2 linked regions of the Nothobranchius furzeri genome follow. The protein of the gene in region 2 interacts with the protein of the main gene of each other region in a pairwise test. Links are inferred from orthologs where the notes say so. Each region holds a gene or a part of one and is shown on either strand. Other genes may lie near its edges. The genes, in order: ppil3 and slu7.

Region 1 (3,751 bases), on a different chromosome or scaffold from region 2:
TCTTCCCCGAAATTCTGTCTGCATGTTCGACCTGACTTTTTTTAAAATCAGTAGCCCCAATACTTCGTCCCAACTTTCTCTCCATACTCGAATCCCTCCGGTGTTCGGATCGTTTACCTCGGTAGCCCCACTGTCAGTGCACTGTTTGGCCACTTTTTGGAGGTTTGACACGTCGCGGCCGTTCAGAGCCAGCAGAGCTCCGAGTTTAGCGAACAGGACGCTCGTTCCAGCTCCGATGCCCGAGCTGGCTCCCGTTATCAGGGCCACCTTCCCCCGCAGGGAAGACACCTGAAAACAAACGCACCCATGATGACTCGTGGATACGTAGCGGTAACCTAACAGGAGGAAGAATTTGCTCTAAATTCAACCAAAGACTGTTTCATATTGGATTTACATGAAATAAAAGCAAGTTAAACACAAAAACGTACTTTAAACGCGTCGCTTGAAGCCATTTGGGCGACTTTAGCTTCCTTCTAATCTGGCAGGTTTCGTCCCCGACTGATGACGCAAATTTACGCGACGGGAGCACATTTGTAGTGTGAATAGGTCTACTAATTTGTTTTCTAGAGCCATCACCCCCACACACCTTGCATTTTTTTATTAGGTAATGAAAAAGCACAGTAATTAAAATGTCGCAGATACATAAAGATTTCTTCAGTAATGGACTTGCTAACATTTGTTCGACACGAGGAAAAAGAAAAGCCCAACGCGGTTTTAAAATGTCACCTTTTCATTTTTGGATTCAGTTGTGAAACTGTTTAATGGATTACACGAATAACTTATTACCAATGTTCTGTCGCTTCCAAACTGGTTTACGCACAAAGCTAGAAACTACTGAATTTTTCAACAAGTTGCAAAATCTGTAATATTCTCTGGACAATGACTTCAACAAGGACTTCAGGTTTTCTTTGTTTTTGTGAAAGACAACCCAGCAGCTTTAGTCCGTTGTAATTCTCTCAGGGAGATTTCTCTCTGTGTTTTTCAGGCTTGGACAAGTAATTCGTGTTAACTTTGACAAGGCACCGTGCAGCTTTCCAAGTGTTTCTTTCTTTTAAATACAAGCTCCAAGTCAGTTATCCAGCAAAAGGGTTAGCATGAATGGTCACATCCTTTATTCGGGTGTCAGTCAGTGGTCGGAATGTCTTTTCGTTCACGGGCAGCTTCTCCAACTCATCCAGCGTTTCCAAGCCGTCGATGATCCTGTAAGAGGAAGAGCTTGAGGATTAGAGTAAGGAAGCATATATGTGGACATGAATTAGGAAAACCTAATGGATTTCAGTCCTTTATTAATGTATTATGTACTGTGAAGTAACCAATGAATCACTTTTATACTTCATGTGTACATTCATGTATAAGTTACATACTTTCCAAACACTGTGTACTTCATGTGTACATTCAAGTATAAGTTACATACTTTCCAAACACTGTGTACTTCATGTCCAAGTGTGGCTGTTTGGCGTAGGTGAAGAAAAACTGCGAACCATTTGTGTTGGGGCCACTGCTCGCCATCGAGACCACTCCTCTTACATTATGCTGAAATTAGAGAAAAGAAAACATCAAATTTTTGATAAACACTAATTAATGAAATAAAAATGACTTCATGTTAAATTACCTTTAAGTGCTCACTGAACTCATCCTCAAATTTGCGACCCCATATACTTGTGCCTCCTTTACCTGTGCCTGCATGTTATTTTGTATAAGAAAGGGGCAATAACCATCTTCATTTTCATATTTATATTTGTCCGACACAAAAACAAGCTCAGACCTGTAGGATCTCCAGTCTGCACCATGAAGCCTTTGATATTTCGGTGGAAGATGCAACCATTATAGAACCCACTTGCGCACAAAGCAAGGAAGTTCTGCAACACAAGAACAGGTAAGATTATTCACCAGACTTACATCTAAAGCTGATATATTTACTTTTACTAGCTAGTAGTCATCACAGTTTTATAAGCGGATGTCAAACGTGTAAACAGGTAAAGAGTAACGTACCTCACACGCTTTCGGAGCACGCTCACAGAACAACTCGATTTTTAAATCTCCCAGATCCGTATGAAGAGTAACCGCCTATAAAAATGAACACAGCGTCACGTGGACTCCGGTTAAAGTCAAATGTCACTTCCGGACGCGTACATTAGCTAAATAAAACACTTATTCAATCAATACAGTAAAGAGGTATTCTATTGTTTACTACAAGCGACCAAAATTAGAAAACATTCTCACCATTTCAAACGCGTCTGTGATGGTGTGCGCACACAAAACCCGTCCGGGTGGGATGAGTATCTAGCGCTAGGTGGTTCCGGCAGACCTATGGTTGTGCTTGTCCCAAGTCTTTTGATCATTGCGATATTTAAAAACAGATAAAAGAAAGTGGGTGAATATATAAATATCACAAATATACATTTGTTTTATTCCGAGTTATAACATCCTTTAATTATTCTAAATTACATGTAAAGAATGTAAAGAAAAAAAGGAGAAATTTTATCTCAAGACAAATATCACGACAAAAAAAAATTAAAAAGTATTTAAAATATAAAAATTTGGAGAAATAAGTTATAACGATTTTTTTGAAGGGGCAGGGGGCTCACCCAACTGACCTTTAGGTCGAATATGTATAAAAAAGTGGTTTGAATCAACCAAAGTAATTAAACAGAACATCTATAATAACACTGAAAGCAGCAGACACAAAATAAAAAATGATGGAATTAGTTAACCAACCAAATTTTATTGTTTGTAGAGGATGGTGCACAAGACATAAAAAGAGACTAGTTCAAACAGAATACTAAAATATTGATCCAAGCTTACATCAATACTGTTATTTTGTATTTTAAATCTTTGTAAAAAAAGAAAAAAAATCACAAAACCAAAATTGTTTTTCTTGGCAATGGTTTTGACAGTGGTAACTGTACCCAGAATGATGGTTTTACATGTGAAGTGTGCATGGTACAAACATCCCATCACGCAATTGGTGTGTGCGCGCACGCACGGGCAAACACACACACACACACACACACACACACACTTGACCTGTGTGACTCATAAATACAACAGACACGATGCTTAAATATCGCATACTGATGATTAAAATCACACGTGACAATAAACCTAATTGTTTTTGAAACACAAGCACATCCTGCTTAAACCATCAACATAGAAACTATATAGAAATGCATACAAAATAACATTATATTGGTTTAAATTAATCATAATACTACGGGTGGTGAAGAAAAAAGGCAACCAATAAAAAAGGATCAATACTAGCTGGTTTCCTGAGTTCAGTTGAACAATAATATCTTTAACCTTTATGTCACAAAAAATAGTGAAAGTGAATTAAAATCAGCACACATTTAACATAAAAAACGTCACTAATACCATGTCACTAGCAACAATACCCTTTACTCACCAGAACACTTCTAAATAAAATTCAGAGATTTCTTCATCTAAAAATCTGCATTGTTTAGCTAAGACGTGTATCGCTAACATGCTTCGGGTCACTGAAAAAGTGGTTAGAGTCAACAAAATGCCACTTTCATCTCATGGCTGGCAGTCATTCAAGTGCCAGACCAAAAAAAAAAAAAAAACGGTACAAATTATAATTTGTATGAAACAAAAAAGTGTATCCGTGTTACAGTTGGAGAAAAGAAAACCGGGGACTAAAGGTGCCGTAGTGCAAAAGCATTGTTCGGGTCCGACGCGTTTCTATAACCTGTCCTAGTTTAAAGTCTTACGCCAACAGTGAGGAGCACGGGAC
Region 2 (4,264 bases):
CACTGGTAATAAGTTAAGGCTAGTATTTTTATTTCTTCTGATCGGTTATGAACATGTTACATCACAACAACTTGAACTTCCTTTCACAGAAAACTTTTGTAAACTCTAACAGAGTATCTGCAGGTTTAAGGGAGCCAAATTTAAGACTTTTTAACACCTTTTCTAAGGCCACTTTGACCAAATTTAAGCTATTTTTAAAATTAAATTTAAGCTATAATTTCCAGCTATTGCCTGGAACCGGTGCTAACCATGTCGCAAACGTGGGATTAGCCATCCAGTTACCATTAAACTTGCACTTCCCCATGGCGCAAGCTCCCACTAGCTTAACCAGCTAATGTGCTCATCTAAAAATAGCCCCCTTTCACGACCAGCTGAATGTGTACGGTTCCGCTTACGCCAACATCGTACACACAAAACGCTGAACACCAACTAGAAATTCATGAAAATTTGACAAAAATAAAAGAATCTTGTTTATTGGGTCTTTGGTAATTTAAGACCTTTGGAAACTGTATTTAAGGACTATTTGTCATTTTTAAGGATTTTTAAGGCCTTAAATTTGGAAAAGCAAATTTAAGACTTTTTAAGGACCCGCGGACACCCTGTCTAAATGCAGCTGTGGTTCGTTCAGTTAACGCCTCACACTACTGAAACTTTCTTTATATTATGTCACTTCTGCAGAGAAAAGAAATCACAGTAAAGACTCACGCTGTGTTTGAGCCATGCTGATCGTGTCTCCGGTGTAGCGAGCAAAGTTGTCTCCAGCGTAACCCACCCTGTTAGACAAAGCACTTCATTATCATTTCCTTTTAACCTGCTGATAAGACGATGAAAGCATTAATCATAACGTACTCATCTGGGTTCATGCCAGTGTTGGAGTAAGGGTTCTCTCTCATCGCTCGAGTCTTTGGATCGTAGTACGAAGAGTTTGGATCCAGGTTTCTCAGGTACTAGGAAACACAAACGGTTTCTGATGTTTTACGTCCATCACTCAATAGTTTTAAACAGCTCGCCATCGGTTCATCGCTGCCTTACTTTAGCCGTGTCTTCTCTGATACGCAGATTTCTGACAGTGATTCGTCTCTTAGAGTCAAAGTTCTGACCGGGCATGTCGATGTCATCTGCATATTTGTCTTCATCTTCGCCTTCGCTGTCATGTTCACGCTCCTGTGCAAAAAAAAAAAAAAAAAAAAAAAAAAAAACCCAGAAAAGACCAAATTACATAATGGTTCCATAACTTTTACAACAGTTGTTATTTATCGTGTTACAGAACACTTACACTTTGGTCTAGCTTCCCTGAGGCCAACTCATCCTGAAGTTTCTGTGCTTTCAGGGTCCGCTTAGCCTGAGAAACACAGGAAATCACTCATCCAGGTCACCGATGGCGAATAACTAATCTGTCAGGTGTGAGTCAGATTCTCTCACTTTTAATTTAACAGACAACATCTGGATTGTTGTCACCCTTTGAGGTACTTATACTTTCTCCATTTCAAACACAGGAGAAGTACTGCAGGGTTCATTGCTGGATAACTTACAAGATCCACTTTGGCGTACTCCTCCACGATGCGCTGGTGTTCCTCCGGGTCGTAGCCATTCCAGCGATCGCGCTTTCCGTCGTAGTCCATCGTTAGCTGGATCTGAGCGTGTTCATCTGGAGCTATACCTGTTCCAGTGAATTTGGCCCCAACTTTTCTGGGTCGCTGAAGGAACAAAGACGAAAATCAAATCTTGATCAGTATTTTATTTATTATAAATGAGATTTCATCTGAGGTTTAGAAAACTAATTATCTCTTGTTTTGCTGTTTTTTGGTTACCTCCAAGCAGTCTTTCTTTTTGTGTGTCATAGCTCCACAGTTCTCACAAGCACCTTTGCGGTATTTAGTGGTAACTGCATTCTACACGGAGACAAAAAAGCCAAGTTTCACACTTGCATGTTAATATAAATCATTAATAAACACCGTCCTGCTCCTGACCTCCTGCACGCCTCTCTTGTACCAGTCCCCTATTGCGGAGTACTGCTTCTGGCATTCGGACTGTGGTCTTTGATGTTTCAGCGTGGGTCTTTTTGATGGGTCGATGTACCAGGGAACTGAAGAAATATACTGAGGGATGTGAGGGTTGATGTCCCTGGAGACGAGAAAACAGCTGATTTAACACCCCTGAAGAACCAAGCTTTTCACTGAGTTCCTTTCTTCCAACGTTAGAGATATGTCAAACCATGCAGGTTAAAGCGTTTAATCTAAACTTGCTAAACATTTTAATGGATCACCAGTACGAACCCCCCATTCACTTACTTTCCCTCCTCGTCCACCTCGGCTGGGGCATTTCCGAGCTTCCTCTGCTCTTCCAGCTCCTTCTTCTTCCTCCAGTCCTCTCTGGTCATCTTCTTGGGCTCATCCAGGCCCACGATCCCCTCAGAGGTCGTGTTGGGTTGCTCAGTCATGACTGGATGCGTCTTCAGAAATCCACATGAAAATAAGCATTTAAGTTACATCAGCATAACAGAAATCTGTACACCTGATCGATCTCGTTAACTTAGTGAGGGTTTTTATGAAAACATACTTCACCTTCGAACTAACCTGTTTACCGTCTGAGTAACGGAGCAAAAACTTTATCCGTACAAAAATAAAACTTAATAGCTAGAATTCCTTTGTAGTAATCAAACAAATATGGCACCAGAAGGTATTTATGTCTTCAAATTAAAAGTTTCCTCCGTAAAGCGCGTTTTTTCCCCTTTATTTGTTTTTCTAGTAATACGCCATCGTCGCCATTTTATTTTTGTTTGGGAGGGAGGGCTACGTTTCTTCTTCTGTGGTGATTGCTCTTCTTCTTCGGTGGTGTTTTGCTTTATAGCTCTAGTCACAGTTTTAACAGCGACACCACTGGACACCATTCACTCGGTGAAATAAATGTGCAGACATTCATGATAATAATTATAATATATATTAATAAATATGTCTGTGGTGCAGACTGAGCAGGGCTGCCAACGTTTTAAAACGGTTTTGAATTTCTCTCTGTAGGTGCTTATATGTATGTATATGTGTATATATATATACTTACATATGTACACTTCTATTTGTTCTAGTTACTGAACACTGTTTCATGTATATATGTTCATAAAAAACATATGAATGAATGAATGAATAATGAATGAATGGGATGCCCCCATGGGGAACAGATAAAGATAAATCCCAATGGGGCATTTAAAAGAAGCCTTTGGTCTAAATCGGTTCCGATATGAGAAGGGCTTGGGACCTTGGGAACCAGGAGGGTCTCCCATGGAACGGTGTGGGAGAGAGTTGGGAGATCAGATGTGCTGAAGTATTTCTCACCAGTTAGACATGACCCTGCTCCAGGGTCTCACAGAAAGCCTTGTGAAGTCACCATCTTGTTTGACCAAATAATCAAGCAGCCCTGGGCACCCCTAAAGGCTGAGGGATCTGACATTTCATACATACAAGAGGGAGCAAAACAGGAGCAACCCAAACCGGAGCAGACCACCCTGGGAGACTTCTTCCCCATCGAGCTGACAGGGGGTCCATACCTGTCGCCAGATGCAACAAGGGGGATGCAGACACCCTCGGTCACACACACACACACACACACACACACACACACACACACACACACACACACACACACACACACACACACACACACACACACACACACACACACACACACACACACACAACACTTCTATGGAATAGGCCATACAGTAGAGATGATTAGTTATTCAACAGCAACAACAAAGAATATTATTGGGGCCACCCTTAAGGTGGAGCCTTTTGTATGTATAAATAATGGATACCCAGATAAGTCACCAGGCGATTGAAGACGGGAGAAGCCCGATCACTCAGGATCACACCTGACCGCCCCACCGGCTCACCTGGGTCCCTCTGATGAACTTCTCTGCCAGATTAAAAGAACTGAGTCACATTCGGGCCAGAACATCTCATCTGAAGAGCGTGAGTGTGACTTTCTCATTTCCTCCTCCACACGTGTAACAGAAAACCTGTGGTGATCCATCAGTAACAGGCAGGGTTTAAGAATACACTGTATATATGCTCTGCTGTTATGATTTTAAACACAATACTTAAAATACAGTACTAGGATTAAGTCAAGTAATTTAAAATATTACTAATCATAATTCCAAACAAGTATTTAGTGTTTATGTGATTAAATACAATTACAACACTGGTGACAAAGTAGGTCCGTTTTGGTAGAGACATCCAGAAGAGCCCAGAACTAAGAGGCTGGCCCTTGC

Evidence for each region.
Region 1: the proteins of slu7 (region 2) and ppil3 interact in binary tests that used the Homo sapiens proteins (3 or more experiments, as listed by UniProt). The link is inferred for Nothobranchius furzeri from reciprocal best matches to the Homo sapiens genes SLU7 and PPIL3.

Annotation. Positions count from the first base shown.
Region 1 is NC_091750.1:33,241,681-33,245,431, forward strand, and holds ppil3 (peptidyl-prolyl cis-trans isomerase-like 3), read right to left. Parts: upstream 2,332-3,751; 5' UTR 2,227-2,331; coding exon 2,224-2,226; intron 2,068-2,223; coding exon 1,993-2,067; intron 1,860-1,992; coding exon 1,766-1,859; intron 1,681-1,765; coding exon 1,613-1,680; intron 1,534-1,612; coding exon 1,415-1,533; intron 1,201-1,414; coding exon 1,074-1,200; 3' UTR 584-1,073; downstream 1-583. Other genes in the region: zgc:101858 (3-oxoacyl-[acyl-carrier-protein] reductase FabG), read right to left, coding at 118-288, 429-452. UniProt on the Homo sapiens protein: PPIases accelerate the folding of proteins. It catalyzes the cis-trans isomerization of proline imidic peptide bonds in oligopeptides. May be involved in pre-mRNA splicing.
Region 2 is NC_091741.1:96,576,085-96,580,348, reverse strand, and holds the start of slu7 (pre-mRNA-splicing factor SLU7), read right to left. Parts: upstream 2,805-4,264; 5' UTR 2,577-2,804; exon of another isoform or gene 2,565-2,576; intron 2,453-2,564; 5' UTR 2,441-2,452; coding exon 2,292-2,440; intron 2,125-2,291; coding exon 1,971-2,124; intron 1,893-1,970; coding exon 1,812-1,892; intron 1,698-1,811; coding exon 1,533-1,697; intron 1,343-1,532; coding exon 1,277-1,342; intron 1,165-1,276; coding exon 1,033-1,164; intron 948-1,032; coding exon 850-947; intron 774-849; coding exon 706-773; intron 1-705. UniProt on the Homo sapiens protein: Required for pre-mRNA splicing as component of the spliceosome. Participates in the second catalytic step of pre-mRNA splicing, when the free hydroxyl group of exon I attacks the 3'-splice site to generate spliced mRNA and the excised lariat intron.